Arabidopsis thaliana: one gene and its partners. The protein of the gene in region 3 purifies or fractionates together with the protein of the main gene of each other region. This does not show direct contact. Each region holds a gene or a part of one and is shown on either strand. Other genes may lie near its edges.

The links.
Region 1: the proteins of CYCA3;3 (region 3) and PPC1 purify together in Arabidopsis thaliana (affinity purification with mass spectrometry, with the first as the bait; one large-scale study listed by BioGRID). This does not show direct contact.
Region 2: the proteins of CYCA3;3 (region 3) and GSTU19 purify together in Arabidopsis thaliana (affinity purification with mass spectrometry, with the first as the bait; one large-scale study listed by BioGRID). This does not show direct contact.

Annotation. Positions count from the first base shown.
Region 1 is NC_003070.9:19,885,635-19,891,560, forward strand, and holds the start of PPC1 (phosphoenolpyruvate carboxylase 1), read right to left. Parts: upstream 2,780-5,926; 5' UTR 2,671-2,779; exon of another isoform or gene 2,455-2,670; 5' UTR 2,437-2,454; coding exon 2,269-2,436; intron 2,043-2,268; coding exon 1,648-2,042; intron 1,568-1,647; coding exon 1,483-1,567; intron 1,409-1,482; coding exon 1,186-1,408; intron 1,086-1,185; coding exon 982-1,085; intron 891-981; coding exon 800-890; intron 701-799; coding exon 546-700; intron 470-545; coding exon 1-469. Other genes in the region: TLP7 (tubby like protein 7), read right to left, coding at 5,603-5,926. UniProt on the Arabidopsis thaliana protein: Through the carboxylation of phosphoenolpyruvate (PEP) it forms oxaloacetate, a four-carbon dicarboxylic acid source for the tricarboxylic acid cycle. Contributes probably to the adaptation to inorganic phosphate (Pi) deprivation.
Region 2 is NC_003070.9:29,485,664-29,491,589, reverse strand, and holds GSTU19 (glutathione S-transferase TAU 19), read left to right. Parts: upstream 1-3,582; 5' UTR 3,583-3,770; coding exon 3,771-4,085; intron 4,086-4,586; coding exon 4,587-4,931; 3' UTR 4,932-5,203; downstream 5,204-5,926. Other genes in the region: NCED9 (nine-cis-epoxycarotenoid dioxygenase 9), read left to right, coding at 1-695. UniProt on the Arabidopsis thaliana protein: Catalyzes the glutathionylation of 12-oxophytodienoate (OPDA). In vitro, possesses glutathione S-transferase activity toward 1-chloro-2,4-dinitrobenzene (CDNB) and benzyl isothiocyanate (BITC), and glutathione peroxidase activity toward cumene hydroperoxide.
Region 3 is NC_003070.9:17,300,366-17,306,291, forward strand, and holds CYCA3;3 (Cyclin A3;3), read left to right. Parts: upstream 1-3,310; coding exon 3,311-3,514; intron 3,515-3,687; coding exon 3,688-3,920; intron 3,921-4,023; coding exon 4,024-4,176; intron 4,177-4,256; coding exon 4,257-4,440; intron 4,441-4,538; coding exon 4,539-4,673; intron 4,674-4,757; coding exon 4,758-4,832; downstream 4,833-5,926. Other genes in the region: CYCA3;2 (cyclin-dependent protein kinase 3;2), read left to right, coding at 671-1,012, 1,094-1,326, 1,411-1,563, 1,649-1,832, 1,931-2,065, 2,148-2,219.

The DNA of each region.
Region 1 (5,926 bases), 2.6 Mb from region 3:
GCTTCTCAAAGAGCGGAACAACTCTCAAAGGCTGTTTCACTCGGCATTCACGCTGTAAAAGCTCAACAGCTAATACATCAGAAGGTGCAGTTGCCATAGAGATAATGTAAGCACCAAAGCTATCTGCTGGTAGCTCGGCTATGACATGAAACGTGTCCAGAACATCAGCTATTTCTTCGGTTTTAGGAAGATCAGAACCGAAAAGCGGACGTTTGCCACTTAGCTCAGATAAAAGCCATTCTTGGCGGCGTTCTTCAGACCACTCTCTGTAGGATCCGATATCTAAATGCGTGGTGATAGCATCCAATACATCAGTGTGGCGGTCAGATTCTTGCCTTATGTCAAGTCTCACAAGAGAGAGCCCAAAGGTTGAGACTTGCCTCAAGAAATCAAGAAGGCTTCCATCTGCTATTGGACGATCACCACATGAACACAGAGATCGGTAACAGAGCTCAAGAGGTTCCAAGAACTACACAAATAGCATGAGAGAGTGGTTTAGTACCAAATCATAACCGGGAGTTAAAAGATTCTAATTGCAATGATACCTGTTCCAAGTTAATGAAAGTAGCCTCTACAGGGACATCAGAGTGTCCATTGCTGAGCAGTTGATGAGCGCGTTCACGTGTGTGATAAAGCTTGTCCCTTACATCGCCAAGAATCACACGGTATGGCTCAGTTGTAGGAATTGACTTCCAGAATTCTGCAATCAAGACAATGAATGATAGGTTCCAAATTAAATCGGTTCCAGACACATAGCTTAAACATAAACAAAATGCTCAAAATCGGTTATTTTTCTTACCTATGTAATGTTTTGCAGCATCTTTCCTCGAATTTGCATGAACTTCATCAGCTCGCGCACGCAGCTCGTCATTGCAACGCCACATAGACATCTATGAAAGAAGCAGTAATCATGAAATGAGGTGATACATAAATAAAAGAAAGTAAGGAGACTAAACTCAAAAAAAGAACTCGAGATCAAACCTCAAACATAAGATCTTCGATTTGGTTAAAGTACATAGTAGCAGCCATCATTCTAGCTAACAAGCAAACATCTCTGGTGACTTCAGGTGTAACCCTTGGGTTACCTGCAAATACACATATATTGTGAGTTTGTGACATGAGTAAAACCATTAAGAGAGGGAGCGCAATAAGAGAGCTATGCGAGAAGGACTTGTAGAAATGTACCGTCACGATCACCACCCATCCAAGAAGAGAACTGAATCAATGGAGCATTATATGGAACACGTTCTTCGATCCCTATGTTTTTCAAAGCCGTGTCAACACGGCGCAGAAACTTAGGAACACCTTTCCAGATAGTTTCATGGAAATAACTCATTCCCGCTCTCATCTCATCTTGAGGAGTAGGTGGTGTTCTTTTGATTTCATCTGTTCGGAATGCAGCTTGAATCTAACAAAAACCCAAGTTTTTTTTCCATTAGTTTCCAAAATCATGTAAATATGAAGAATCCAATAAGATTTTACCTCTCTCTGAAGAGCCTCATCGAGCTCTTGCTTGTCATCAGGAGTAATATCCTTAGCATATAGTTGAGCCAGACAGTCTCTTATCCTGAAAAACCGCACAAAGTAGATAACTTTAACATCAAAACATCGATCCAAAGCAAGCCCGGTGAAGCCTCAAAGACTAACCTCCCATGTTTCTGAAGCAATGATCTTCTCACAGACTGAGTAGGATGAGCAGTCAAAACCAAATCCACAGTCTGATTCTTGAGAGCATCAAAGATCTCTTCAGGAGACTTGTTCAGATCTCCAACAAGCTTCTTGAAAGTTTCTTCAAGATCAGATTCAGTAGTAGCAGAGCTCTCATCAACAAAATCACCTTTCTTCAGCTTCTTGATCCTACGGCGATAAGCAATCTGCACTTCCTCAGCCAAATTGGCTAAGTTAAGCATATGAGAGAAAGCTTTAGCGATAACAATGGAATCTCCTGGATCTAAACTCGTTAGCACACTCCCTAGCTCCTCTAGCTTCTTAGGTTCATGCTTCCCTTCGTATTCTGCAGAATGCTCATAAAGCTCTTGAACCTATATACAACAACACACACAATAAGATCATCAAAATTAGATCACATGAAACTACTAATCTCAAAACTAACATAAAGTTTAAATCTTCCTGCGTTTCAAAACCCTAACTAATCTAATCCATGATCGAATCAAAAAAAGTTGAAACCTTTAGTCAATACTCAAAACAGAGCATGTAGTTTCAGGATCTTATAGCAAAAGGGTCAAATCCAAAATGGAGAAAACGTACAGTTTCACGGAGATCTTCACCGTGCAAATCCTGGAGGATATCGAGAAACCGATCTAGAAGCAAAGCATCATACTCAACAAGCTTGTCGTCTTCACTAACTTTGCCAGGAACCAGTTGACGAAGATGAACATCAATCGATGCCATCTTCTCTAACTTCCGATTCGCCATTTTTTCACCTGCTTCGCTCTGAAGTAAGACCAAACAAAATAATTAAAGGGATCCAAAAATTAAAGATCTAAAGACAAAATTGACTGAGATTTCGGCGATGAAATCGGAGACAGAAAATAAGAAAGTCGGAAACTTTGAGTCAACAGAAACAAACAGACCCAGATGAGAAAAATCTGCTGATAGTGCGGAGGAAAAGTAAATCTAACAAGTGTGTGTGTGTGTGGAGAAGCTAACCAGTTATAGAAGTAAAAGCTGTGTCCTTTGAAGTCAGTCAGATTCAGATTTCAGAGATACATAACCAAAAATAAGATACTTGGCTTACCTATATATAGAGAGTGAGATCATGATGGATTCCTATACATTATTCTATTTCTATATGTGATGCTCGCTTATAGTTGGAATTTTTAACCTTTTTTTCCATGATTTCTATCTCTTTTTTTCCTCAATTTATATATATTTATTAATGCATTGAGAAGATTTTTATTTATGTATAAAAGAGAGATTTTCATTGAATCTAGTGATAGTCAAGAAAGAAATATTATGATTAATTAATTTTTGTGGAACAAAAAAATAACCAAAACAATAACATAAAATATTTTTATTTTTAATATATCAGTAAAAAATTAATTATATCACTTATGTAAACAACATGCATTCTTCCGTAATTTTGATTTATATAATCAACAAAAAAACATCAAAAATTGATTCACCTAAGTTAACACCAATCATATTTTGAAAATTTACACTTTCATGTTTGACTCACAGTACCTACAGAATTAGAATTCGATCGATTTAATATAAAGATTATTTATCTCTTTATTGTGGTTAAATTACCGGAAGATTATAGTGTTTGTAAAATAATTTGTTGTTCTAAAATTCACGTGAGCGAATGTAGAGAAGAGCATGTGTCAATGCACGGAAGTTGATGAATAAATCTCTGAACTTTCAACCTAACTTTCACTTTCAGCGATAAAGTTGACTTTTAATTTTTCTTTCTTATAAAGGACTTAAGTATTTAACCGACCATCATCTATTTCTTTCGGTTTTATTAGTTCTTCTAACCTCCCAAAATCTAAAATCGGCAGTCTACGATAAATTTTTAGACATATATAAAATCAAATATAATATTACTCTTGTGAACGAAAATGTGATAGTAAATAAAGTAGCGGTATATGATGCTGATTAGATCATGCCTTATCATTCTTACTCATGTGATGATGTTATTATCATAACTAGATCATTTTTGGTAAGTGACAAAGTCGTACATGTATGTGATGTGATGTCACGTTATGAATATTTTACATTGGTCGACTCCAATTATTCAAAAATTGGATATCTTCATATGTGCTAATGGAATATTCGGATAATTTGAAATGTCTTTATTATAACACAAGTCAACAGTCGACAGACGACAGGCATGAGTGATACAGTCTAATTGTTGGAATATTAGGTACTCACTTTTCTAGTTTTCTTTAATATACTGCAAAATTTATTAATTTCAGCGAATGATCACACATTTTTTTCTTTTCACCATCACATAAAATTCTTTTGGACTATAAAATATATAGTGATATGTATTGGGTACATACATTTATATAAAACTAAAAATTTACTGCAAAAAAAAACTAAGAACTAAACACCATAAATCCAAAATCTAAAAACAAATTAAGAAACTACTGCCATTTTAAAGCCTTAACTTTGTCAAATGATATATATGAAGTAAAAACAAAAAAAAAAAGTAAAAGAAAACGGAAACATGAAATAGAAGCTTCGTTAATTAACCGGTGGAAATACATTTTCATCCCCAAAAAAAGAAACAGTTGGAAATGCATCATGCATGCACCATGAAACTAACATATTTGCCGTGTTTGAATTTACATTTTCTGAAATAGAATTATAAATATGGCCTTACGTGCACTCCTTAATTTCATAAACAAGCCTCTTTTTTTTTTTTTCCTTTCTTCATATGATTAGACTTTTAGTATAATATAATGAATATTATGAGCACAAGGCTGCATATACTTAATAAAGTGATGATGGTTAGCTGATAACTTGGTTGACGTATAACATGATAATTAAAGTCCATTATCAGGACGAAGAAGAGTTTGAGAAGCTAAGGACCAAGTGTGAAAACTTGTTTCGGTTCTTTTTTAAAACACTTTTGTTGTTTTGACGGCATCCATTTGGACACTTTACTAGTGCGGATGCTTACGGAAGCAATATTGCATGGTCGCGTAATGGCTTATGACATATTTCCGACTCACTAAAAGATAGTATATGGTAGAGTATACTACTTACGCGAGTATCGTGATTAATGCCGTTATAAATATTTTTAGCAAAAACTATACTTTTAACTGAAAATCACTTCTCTTGGGTATTTAACTTTTTCATCTATAGATCGTTTTCCTTTTCTGATGAGGCTTCACTTAATTACTATAGTGTGGCTATGTAGTGATGTGTACAAACTACGGTTCTAATTAAAAGAAATGAACGATTAATTGTACATTATATCCTAATTTAAGAAATATTGAACGATAAATTTGGAAAACAAAGAGAAACCTGCCCTTACTTATCCTTAAGAGTTAAGACTAGGGCATGCGAAAGTATTCCACACCAATAATAGTACTAGTACGCTCATTTCACATATATTGATATATATAAACAAGATCCAGTTGTAAAATACAAAAGAATATAAAACCGAAAAGTAAAAAATTATAAAGAAGTTTTTCAAATCGACTTGTCAGACATCGAACCGGCTCAAGTTCCAAACCAAAAATATGCGACTTTTTTCTTGTGTATAAGCCAAAAATTAAAAATATGTTACTTAAGTCTTGCTATTCATTGCTGACAAAAAGAAAAAAGTCTTGCTATTCATTGTTTTTGTATATATTTTGCAAATAAGTCATGTTTCCAAAAAACCATTGAAGTCCTACTTTGAAGGAATGTGAAGTCCCAAATTCTATTCAAAAATAAAAGAAAACCACATGGGTATACTTAAGAGATACATTATGATTATGGGTTTTAAATAATGTTTCTTACATAATAATACTTATGTGCTTCTCCTTTCCACATACCTTTGTGTTTACACTTACACATGATTACATCAAAACATTACATTTTTGCAAAGCCAGTTCACTTTTTCTTTTCTGTTGCCTTTTGTTGGGTTTCACTCGCAGGCAAGTTTAGTGCCGAAACTTGTGAGACAGATAGCAAAAGCCTGAAATGCAGAGAGAGGCTGTCTATAATCCATAGTGAAAGTGTCATCTCCCACTTTACCAAACTGTAGAAGAACTGTTTCTTCATCGCCTTTACCGCTCGGTTGACTTTGGTCAACGGTCGCAACCAGCTGAAAGTTCTTGACCGAAGCAACAGTAACTCGTCCATGGAAGTTCAGACACCAGCACTGCAAGTGCTCGTGCCATCTAGGAGCTTTGTTCTTTAGTATTGTCAAGCTGGAACCATCCTTGTTGGGTTTTTTCATTATCTTGGT
Region 2 (5,926 bases), about 12 Mb from region 3:
CGGAGATGATAAGAGGTGGTTCTCCGGTGGTTTACGACGAGAAGAAGAAATCAAGATTCGGGATTTTGAATAAAAACGCGAAAGATGCTTCGTCGATTCAATGGATCGAAGTACCAGATTGTTTTTGTTTCCATCTATGGAACTCTTGGGAAGAACCAGAAACAGACGAGGTTGTCGTGATTGGATCATGCATGACGCCACCTGATTCAATTTTCAACGAACACGACGAAACACTTCAGAGTGTTTTGTCGGAGATAAGGCTAAACCTTAAAACAGGGGAATCAACACGTAGACCGGTTATCTCGGAACAAGTTAATCTCGAAGCTGGTATGGTCAACCGGAATTTATTAGGTAGAAAAACCCGGTATGCTTATCTGGCTTTAACCGAACCGTGGCCTAAAGTGTCCGGTTTCGCTAAAGTGGACTTATCGACCGGAGAGATTCGAAAGTATATTTACGGAGAGGGGAAATACGGAGGAGAGCCTCTGTTTCTACCTTCCGGTGACGGAGAAGAAGACGGAGGTTACATAATGGTGTTCGTTCACGACGAGGAGAAGGTGAAATCGGAACTCCAACTCATAAACGCCGTTAATATGAAGCTTGAAGCTACCGTAACGCTTCCGTCGAGAGTGCCTTACGGTTTCCACGGAACGTTCATCAGTAAGGAAGATTTATCGAAGCAAGCTTTGTGTTAGTTTTAGATTTTTGTAGGATCTTATAAATGTTAATATGAGTGATAGTGATTAGTGACATAGGATTGTTGCCTGAGGGATTGTTATGCATTAGTCCCCGGCAACGAGTTTCTTGAATTTTAGTTATACGTATATACTGTGATTATGTATTATGTATATACTATGATCAAGTGTCCAATGATCCAACTGTGTACAAAGTTTTGTAGTAAAGTTTTAATTTACACACAGAATTTGTTAGCATAAAAATTTATAGATTTGATCAAAACTGATTTATTAAAGATGGTTATTAAAGTAGATTAAAGTGGAGTTATTGTTATAAACGATGAGAAAAATGCATTACTTATAAAAATAGCTAAATATAGTCGACACACTAAACTTGATTATCTTAGAAGGTTTATGCTGATATCTTTTCTATATTATGTAAGCTTCCCCAAATATCTCTGTGAGCTGCATGTGAATGAACTGTGTAGAGCTAGAGAAGCTTCTTATAGAAGGAATTTGACCTTCGAAAATGGAAACCCGAAAATATCTCATGTGATCTCTGTTTTGGGAATGAGGTCTACTTTAATCTTTCTGATCGTTCTTTGTCTTTTTTACAATTATCAACAACTTTTATTTATCTGCTCGTTTTTCGTCTGTTCGTTTTTTGTTCTTCTTGCAATAATTGGTATTACAAATTACGAAATTACCACAATACGAATTATTGTTTTTTTATTCTTCTTCTTTTAAAGTAAGAAATCCATATCCCTATACTTATATTTCGAAATTACATAAAAAAACTAACCTTGTATTTTATAAAATATTACTTAGGAATACCATTAGAAATAGAATTTAAAGGTCCAAACTAATTCAGTTCATTAAAATAAACAAGTCAAAACTTTATTTATGCAATTTAATTATAAACCAAAAAGATGCATTTATGGGTTTAACTTGTTGACAGCTTATTTTATTCATGAATTTACGTTGAGGTTGTTGCGATTTCTACTTTAAGCAAACGGGAAACATCTCACAGTTTTGACTTGTGATCTTTTATCCTACTCTTATTGGTTCTAAAGTGCATACACGTAAGCGTATACATAAGCACTCGCATTTCACAGTAGCCAATCGATTGATTCTAATCTTTGAACATGTAATACACTTCATGGCCACTCTTTTTTTCCGGGAACTATCTTTTTTTTTTGACATGGAAAAAGACCATTTTTTGATTTATAACGTGCATACTGCTGTGTCTTTTTTCTAAATAAATAGTTTTTATCAAATATGTAATCATACTAGGGAAAATCTCATCAAGATCATACGTATTTTTGTACATGACTTTTAAATAGTATATTCGCCGAAAAATACGTTGATGTCTCGGAATTTGACGCCTCAAAAACATTAGAATATACAAAATCAAGTAACGAGTTTGTAGGTTGAAACTAAAATGCCACGTAATACAGTGCGTAGGGTCCATTCGATGTTTCTAGATCAAAGTCTACACACTATAGAGACTTCCAGATACAGATACACATTCGAAATCATCAATGAAAAATAACAATTTAAGTATCTTCTTATCCTAATGTGTGTGTGCTTTTTTTTAGTCAACTATTTTGTGTATATTGTAAGATGTATCATGTTATGACATGAGTATGTTGCTACGTGTCGTGAGATATCGAACCCAACGCAGATATGAGTATGTTGAGCTAGTTTCTTCTTATGAAACAATCATATATGTCTATAATGAATAGATCACATTATCTGCCTGAAAAAAATCCCGTATATTACTCGACGAAATATAAATACCCAATGTAGCTGATTTTGCTTTCTCTGGTGACATATCCAATTTGGCTAAATTTGTTAACTAGTCTATTATAGGTTTATAATAGATCTAGCTATGTTAAAGATACTAAAGCATCAGTTACATAAATTTTTGGCGCGAGTTTATATCTTTTGGAATTAAAAATAAGAGAATTTAAAAATAAGAAGATCATTTTGTTTGGCCACAGGAGTTCTGAAAGGTCAGGTATGATTTTTTTCTTGCTCGCTCTTATGATTTTGTTTTTATTAATGGGTTTTCAAATAAGAAAAACTGTTTTTCGAAGCCCGGTTCAGATCCATTGTTTTTTGTAAAATATAGGCCCAATTCACCATAAGTCCATGACCAAAACAAAAATAAGATAGAACCAATACTGAACCAGGATCTTCTCTCGCTTTCGTGATCAATGTCGCCAAGCTTCTCGAGATCATGTGGTCACGTCAATTGTATAAATACAATTATTGACGTAACACAATCTCTACAGTTCCATCGAAATATCTCGAAAATTTCCAGTTAATTCTGGTAACGTGAACGTATCTTCCACCTCTTCAACCTACACAGCTTTCTAGAAATTTGGCTCGCTTTTCTAAGTCCTCTGTATTTTTTTGCACGTTTTTCAACTAAGTTTCAATATGAATCATTTCTTCTATAAATAAATGATATTTTCATCAGGTAATGATACATTGTGCCGAAATAAAACGTCAATACTCATTAGTCAAATTAATTGTTCACATAATTTAAAACTGTGTTAATCCATCCAGTTATTTTCTTACAACAAAATAATCTTTTCCATCAACTTTTAAAATAATTAAACGCAGTGCTAAGAAATCTAAAATCTTGATTTAGAAATCCATTATGGTTTCTGGTCAACTGAAATCCATAATTTCCTTTAACATCCAAAATCCAAATTTGCTACTATGATAATAGATTTCAGACGATTTTTTTTCTTTTTTCAATCATAGAGTCCACACGAATATTTGCAAGTTACTATATAAAACACTATAATGGTCAACAGATAAAAAAAAGGCGAATGAAGATATGTTACGTAAAAAGAAAATACTGTAATTATAAATTATTACTTTAAAAAGCTTTAAAATCTGGCCACATGTTTTTAAAGAGTGGTGTGACGTAACGACTAGAGTCAGCACAATCCATTATTGTATCATAAATATTCTCATCTATAAATTACCTAAACCCTTACAGGTAGTGTCCCAACCAAACAAATCGAGAAAGACGAACACTTACAAAAAAAAATCTCTTTGTGAGCTTTAGCGATCGTAACAATGGCGAACGAGGTGATTCTTCTTGATTTCTGGCCGAGTATGTTCGGGATGAGGACAAGGATCGCATTGAGGGAGAAAGGTGTTGAATTTGAGTACAGAGAAGAAGATCTAAGGAACAAGAGTCCTTTGCTTCTCCAGATGAATCCGATTCACAAGAAGATTCCTGTTCTCATCCACAATGGTAAACCGGTTAACGAATCTATCATCCAGGTTCAGTACATTGACGAGGTCTGGTCTCACAAGAACCCTATCCTTCCTTCTGATCCTTACCTGAGAGCTCAAGCTAGGTTCTGGGCTGATTTCATTGACAAGAAGGTATCTTATTTCCTTTGTGCCCTTGATTGAATAATGTTGAAATTGAACTTGGGATTTCATAAAAATTGAAACTTTAGTTGAGTTTGCTAGTGATTGGCTCAAATTTAGGGTTTTGCTTGTAGACTCGTCTTTGAGCTTGTATGGGTTTGTCTGATGTTATAATATTACTTGAGTTTGTAGTTGTTAGGGTTAGAGATCTCACCTCCAAATTTCAGATTTTTCTTGTGGACTCATCTCTGAGCTAGTCAGGGTTTGTCTTCTTAGATAGTTTAATGTTATGTTACTTGTGCAATTTGAGGTTTTTACATACTAGTTTCGCTAGTAGATATCATCTTTGAGCTTTGTTTGGGTTCATCTTAGATAGTTTGATGATATGTTTCTTTTGCAATTTGGGGGTCTCTAGGACTGGTTTTGCTTTGTAGACATCATCTTTGAGCTTTGTTTGGGTTCGACTGAGTTCTGACATAGCTTGGTGTTATGTTACTCTGTGCAATGTTTCAGCTGTATGATGCTCAGAGGAAGGTGTGGGCGACAAAGGGTGAGGAACAAGAGGCAGGGAAGAAGGATTTCATTGAGATACTCAAGACTCTTGAATCTGAGCTTGGAGACAAACCTTACTTTAGTGGCGATGACTTTGGCTATGTAGACATTGCGTTGATTGGATTCTACACATGGTTTCCAGCATACGAGAAGTTTGCTAACTTCAGTATCGAATCTGAGGTTCCGAAACTGATTGCTTGGGTTAAGAAGTGTTTGCAGAGGGAGAGCGTGGCTAAGTCCTTGCCTGATCCTGAGAAGGTTACTGAATTCGTCTCTGAGCTCAGGAAGAAATTTGTACCTGAGTAAATATGTTTCTCTTGTCATATGGTTCGGACTTAAGATGCTCTCTGTTTTACTTTCGTGTGTTGTCTTTCTTAAATAATGCAGAGCATCTGTGAGGTGGTTTGAGTGTAGAGAATGTATGTCTTTGCTGTAGCAGATTCCTGTGTTTTCTGGATTTAATGGCTTGTCCTAGTTTTTATGCATTGTAACTATGAGTTTAATTAATGATCGTTAATCTATAATGATTATTAATTTGTTACTTTGATATGTAATTACGCCAATACGACTCTTCTACCTGACCAAGCTTATCACGCCAATGTTGCTGTAAAAGACAATAGTGCAGTTTGGCGATTAAAACCTCCAACATCGAGAATGGTAAGCCGGTCTGGATCTAATAAGCCCAAATTGGCATCCATAAGCCCAAATTGAAATTGGCATCCATAACTCCATATTGTAGTCAATTGGAAGTTATGTGGTTGATGTGATCATTAGTGTCGGTATGATCAGATTAGCCACGGGTTTAGTGTTTCTTGCCGAATTTGAATTCGGTAGATCAAATAACATTACTATGATCCGCACAGTTCATGGGATTTGAATTTGATTTACGATTACAACAACGATATTAACACAGAACTATCCTGTAATTTTTGGGATCGATTAGTAAATTTTAAAATATTATTTCAAAGGCTTTATATATATAAAGAATTTAGAGTATAAACATAGATAAAGCATTATGTATTTATAAATCTTATGCTGATATTGAAAAAATAATGGTGTATGTGATATATTTAATAGAGTGCAATACTCTCTCAATAAATTAGTATAGCTGTTATCACTCCTTGTGTAAATGCGTATTTCTTGTACATGCATGGTAAGTAGCTTGTCCTCGTATGTACCGGATTGTAATGTTTGATATCAAATCAAGGGAATCACGTGGTAAATGTACACCCACCTAACTGAGAGATAATAATACAAACAACTGTGAGTAGGTGGCCACGCCAAAAGTAGAGACTGATGCA
Region 3 (5,926 bases):
TTCTGTAATCGTTTTCACAATTTAGACCATACTAAACAACATAAAATTCTCAAAATTATAAAATAATCACTATAAAAAAAAATAAAAAAGGATCAAAATTTTATTTAAAAAAACCCTAAAAAACTAGTTAGTTTTAAAAAGTCATGATCTTGTTTAAAGAAAATTGTACATTTAACAATTCTAAATATTTTATTAAAAAATATAAGATTAGTAAAGTACAAAATATCACAATCTTTTTTTTTTTTTTTTTTTTTGTCAAAGACAAAATATTACAATCTAAATTATAAATTTAACAGATGTCTTCGAAGGGACAAAAATGTCAAATGTCAAATTTGTTTCTGAATCGAACCACCACGGCCAAAACCCCAATCTTTACCGGTCAAAAACATTTTCAGGCAAAATCTGAAAACAAAAAAACATAAATCACCCGCCCAAACAAATTTCAGAGAATTTTCGCACCTCCAAAATTTTTTAGTTGACTCCCAAAAAACTCAAACTCCAAAAAAATCACAGAGAGCGCCACAATCAGAAAAAATGGCGCTTTTGCTCTTCCCTTTTTCTTCCCCTTCTCACCTTCTCTTCTTCCACTCATCCGATCTCTCAATCCTCTCAAATCTCAAACTCTCTCTTCCCATCACTCTCTCGCTCTCTCTTCAATCTCATCTCAATCATGACAGAGCAAGAGATCTGCGTGAGGGTTACAAGAGCGGCGGCGAAACGAAAAGCTTCGACGGCGATGGGTATTGACGGAGATCGGGTCAACAAGAAGAGAGTTGTTCTCGGTGAGCTTCTAAACGTCTCCAATGTCAATCTCTTGGCTAATCTCAATCAGAAGAAAGAAACCCAGAAGCCAAAAAGGAATCTTAAACCTCCTCCGGCGAAACAGATTAAGTCAGCTCCGGTGGCTATTATTGACCTAGAATCAAAATCTGACATTGATTCTCGATCTGATGATCCTCAAATGTGTGGACCTTATGTTGCTGATATCTATGAGTATCTTCGTCAACTTGAGGTAATAATGATCTTGTGTTTTGGATTTAGAATCATTTACTTAGTTCTTGAATTGGATCTGAATTGGATTTGGTGAATTCAGGTGAAGCCAAAGCAGAGACCTTTACCAGATTACATAGAGAAAGTTCAGAAAGATGTAACACCAAGTATGAGAGGTGTTTTGGTTGATTGGTTAGTGGAAGTTGCTGAAGAGTATAAACTTGGATCTGAAACACTTTATCTCACTGTCTCACATATTGATAGATTCTTGTCTTTAAAGACTGTTAACAAGCAAAAGCTACAGCTTGTTGGAGTTTCTGCTATGCTTATTGCTTCGTAAGTGTTTTATGATTCTTCCTCTCTTGTGTTTGTTGTCATTGTTTATGTATGGAAGCTAATGGAAGTATTGAAATGTTGTAGGAAGTATGAAGAGATAAGTCCTCCTAAAGTGGATGATTTTTGTTACATTACGGATAATACGTTTTCGAAACAAGATGTTGTGAAGATGGAAGCTGATATACTTCTTGCTCTTCAGTTTGAGTTGGGAAGACCAACGATTAATACTTTTATGAGGTTAGATTTGTGTGTATTGGTGATGATTACTTATTGGTTTGTCTTAGTTTCATTGTTCTGATTTTGTGTGTTGGTGTTTGTGTAGACGGTTTACTAGAGTTGCACAAGACGATTTCAAAGTTCCACATTTGCAGCTAGAGCCTCTTTGTTGCTATTTGTCAGAATTGAGTATATTAGATTATAAGACTGTGAAGTTTGTGCCGTCTCTGTTGGCTGCTTCTGCTGTTTTTCTCGCTCGGTTCATCATCCGTCCGAAACAACATCCTTGGGTAAGCATATTTGTCTCAGTCTCTTTCAGGTTTTAGTCTGCTGTGGTCATTGTTTAGAATGAGACACTAATGATTTATGGTTGTGAATATGTAAACAGAACCAAATGTTAGAAGAGTACACAAAGTACAAAGCGGCTGATCTACAAGTGTGTGTTGGAATCATACATGACTTGTATTTGAGCAGAAGAGGAGGTGCTTTACAAGCTGTTAGAGAGAAATATAAGCACCATAAGGTACTTAAACATTACACATTGATAAAATCATTTGAATAAGCAGAGCTTTCTTGATACTTAATGTTGCTTCTTCTCGGTACAGTTCCAATGCGTTGCGACCATGCCTGTTTCACCAGAGCTGCCGGTTACCTTTTGGGAGGATGTTACCATTTGATCTGAGGTTATGCTATCTTAAGCAAATGTTACGGAGCTGGATTACCGAATCTTGTTTCAAATAGTATAATGGACACAGATCTTCAAGTGAAGCTAGAAGAGTAAGAAATATAGAAGTGAAGGCAGGAGCAAATAAGTCTGCGTTATGTGAAGATGTGTGATGTATTATTGAAATCTCTTCTTTTTTATTTACAAAATTTTAGTGTGAAATTCGGAATAATATAATTTTATACAATTATGCAATATGATATAAGTATTTATGTGACATGATCTTATTTTGTTTAAGCATTGAGCCTACTACTGTATGTTTATACTTAATGAAAATTCCTAGAGGGCTAAAACTCTAGAAGACATTGTTGTTAATTTAAAGAAACTAATGAAAATCTCAAGAAACAAAAGAAAAGAAAAGATTGTCTATGAGATTGATAATCAAGTTTACTAAAGAGAGATTAAACTTGAGAAACAAGAAACAAGGGAGCTTTAGCGATGACTTGAAAAGTTTCGGTGTGAAGATCCAAAGACAAAACCATGGTTTCAACTTTCACCCTCGTGTGAACCAGTGAAGTGAGCCATCAACATACACAGGATCTTGGGTGTGAGAAACCAGATAAGGGGATGCAGGACAACGTACCTCCAAGTGTTGGTTGCAAAATCAAAAACTTCACAAGTTGTAGCGTTCTCGTTTAGGCCTAACTCAGCGGAATAAGCAAATCAAATCGAAATTATAATTAGGGTTCTACTTTACAATTTTCTCCAAAGTAAAATTACAAGTTTTAGATTAAAAAAAGATAATTATATGTAATTACTTTTTGAGATTTTTAATCAAGTAAAAAAAGGTAATTTCTCTAAATTAACACGTTTTGGAACGATTTTTTTTTTAATTTCCTTTTTTTAATTACTTGGGATTTCGTGTTCAACAAGTTATTGTTTTGGGCTTTGGTTTAATTTTCCTTTTTTTTTTAGTCTGTCTCATCTCTCATCTGAATTCTGAAACCTGGTTGTTTTAGGATAGAGTCTTCTACTCTATATATAGGACTTAGTGTAAGATTTATTGTTGTTCTTTCGAAGATGTGTTCTTGTTTTTCGATAAATATGGTGTCTAAGAAAGATAAACAGATTCATTCCGACCATAACCCTCAAGATGCTTCCCCGGTAGAGTGGGCGGAAATTCGACATAAGCTACTTGCGTTTCAAGAGAACATTCAATCAGGCTCTGACATTGACGCTAGGTCTGATGATCCACAGATGTGTGGACTTTATGTCTCAGATATCTACGAGTATCTCCGTGAATTAGAGGTACGTAATAAGATCTCCTACTTGCTCTGTTTTTGGACTTAGAACATTGACAAGTTTCAATAGGTCAATTTAGTATACTTTATCTGAAGAGTTTCTATGATTGTTCTCTGTTTGGACTTAGAATTTGTGGATATGTTCTGAAGATTTGTGTTTTTGGTTTGGTGAATATTCAGGTGAAGCCAAAGCTAAGACCTTTACATGATTACATTGAAAAGATTCAAGAAGATATAACACCAAGCAAGAGAGGTGTTTTGGTAGATTGGTTAGTGGAAGTTGCTGAAGAGTTCGAACTCGTGTCTGAAACACTCTATCTCACTGTCTCTTACATTGATAGATTCTTGTCATTAAAGATGGTTAACGAGCACTGGCTTCAGCTTGTGGGAGTTTCTGCAATGTTTATCGCTTCGTAAGTGTTTTTGATCCTCTTGTATTACTCTCTTTGCTATTCATTGTCATGTTGAAACTTACATATGGAGTGGCTTCTCTTTTTTGGCATTTGATATAAATAGGAAGTATGAAGAGAAACGTCGCCCTAAAGTGGAGGATTTTTGTTACATTACGGCTAATACTTATACGAAACAAGATGTGTTGAAGATGGAAGAGGATATACTTCTCGCGCTTGAGTTTGAACTAGGAAGGCCTACGACAAATACTTTTCTAAGGTTAGAATTGTGATGAATAATACTGACTTTTGGTTGTATCTTATGGTTCTTTGTTCTCATCTTTTGTTGTGTTTGTGCAGACGGTTCATAAGGGTTGCACAAGAAGATTTCAAAGTGCCAAACTTGCAGCTAGAGCCTCTTTGTTGCTATCTGTCAGAACTAAGTATGTTAGATTATAGTTGTGTGAAGTTTGTTCCATCTTTGTTGGCTGCTTCTGCTGTCTTTCTCGCTCGATTCATCATCCTTCCTAACCAACATCCTTGGGTAAGAACTTTTGTCTCAATCTCTCTTTTTCAGGTTTATATGTTGAGTTAATCTTTTGAATGAGACACTAATAATCTATGGCTTGTAATGTAAAACAGAGTCAAATGTTGGAAGAATGCACAAAGTACAAAGCGGCTGATCTACAAGTGTGTGTGGAGATCATGCTTGACTTGTACCTGAGCAGAAGTGAAGGTGCTTCAAAAGCTGTTAGAGAGAAATACAAGCAACATAAGGTAATTGACATATTACAAATTATGAAATCATTTGATTTAATTAGTAGTATCATTTATACTTAAATGTTGCTTTTTATGGTACAGTTCCAATACGTTGCGGCAATTCCTGTCTACCAAGAGCTTCCGGTTACCTTTTGGGAGGATGTTGTTACCATTTGATCAGAACCAATCTTTCATTTCCCAATTGTTACTGAGCTCGATTACTAAGGGACACTGATCAACAGTTGAAGCTAGAGGAGTCATATGTTATATGTATCGAAGTGAAGCAGGAGCAAATAATTTGTGTTGTGAAGATGTATTGTGTTATTACTTGATTAACATTGTGGTGACAAATTAATGTGTTACTCTGGAAATTTATACGATTATGCAATATGATAAGAAGTATTTTATGTGACATGATTTTATTTGTTTAATCATTGAGCCTCCTATGACAAAATTTATAAGTTCCTAGAAGGCCAAAACTTTAGTAGTCAATAATTTACTTCAAATGGTATCGAAACCAGATGAATGGGAAGACATGACAAGATAAGCCTTTAGACTTGCTATGATCCTTGACAAAAACAAAACAAAACAGAAATTGTTCATTTAAGTCAATAAAAAGGCAATTTCTACAAGTGAACCCTTATTGGAAAGATTATTTGGTAGAATTGGTCTGGTCATTTCCAACATACGTTTATTAGATAATAACAGATAGGCGGATCATATAAGATAGAGTTGTCAAATCGGGGTGTCCATGTCCATTAGCCCAATCCAATAATGTCTATTTTGATATTGGACGAACATAGTCCGTATCCATTAACACCTTTGTCCAATCCAATAATGTCCATTTTAATATTCGATTTTTCCTCAAATCGATTTAACCTAACATTATAAGACTATTGGGCCGCCCATGTCCATCATATCTACTCTGCTAAAGTTCATATCCGTTAACGACTATAACCATTAAAGCCCGTTTTATAATGGCTTTATCCATGACTCGGTCCATTAAGTATTGGACGCAGGCAGCCCACGGGCCGCACACCCATTTTGACAACTCTAATATAAGATAAGTGTCCGTTGGTGTCAATTATTTTTGTTAAATTAATAGCTGAATTTGTCGAAAAAATTATATAGGAAATGGTGTTAAATGAATTCCTAGTTCAATGATTTTTTTTTATTATTGTTTAGACAAAATATTTTCATATGGTTTAGTGGATTTATTTTTCTGTATCCAAAAAAAAATCAAAAATGTAAAACTAAACCCAAAAAAAGTA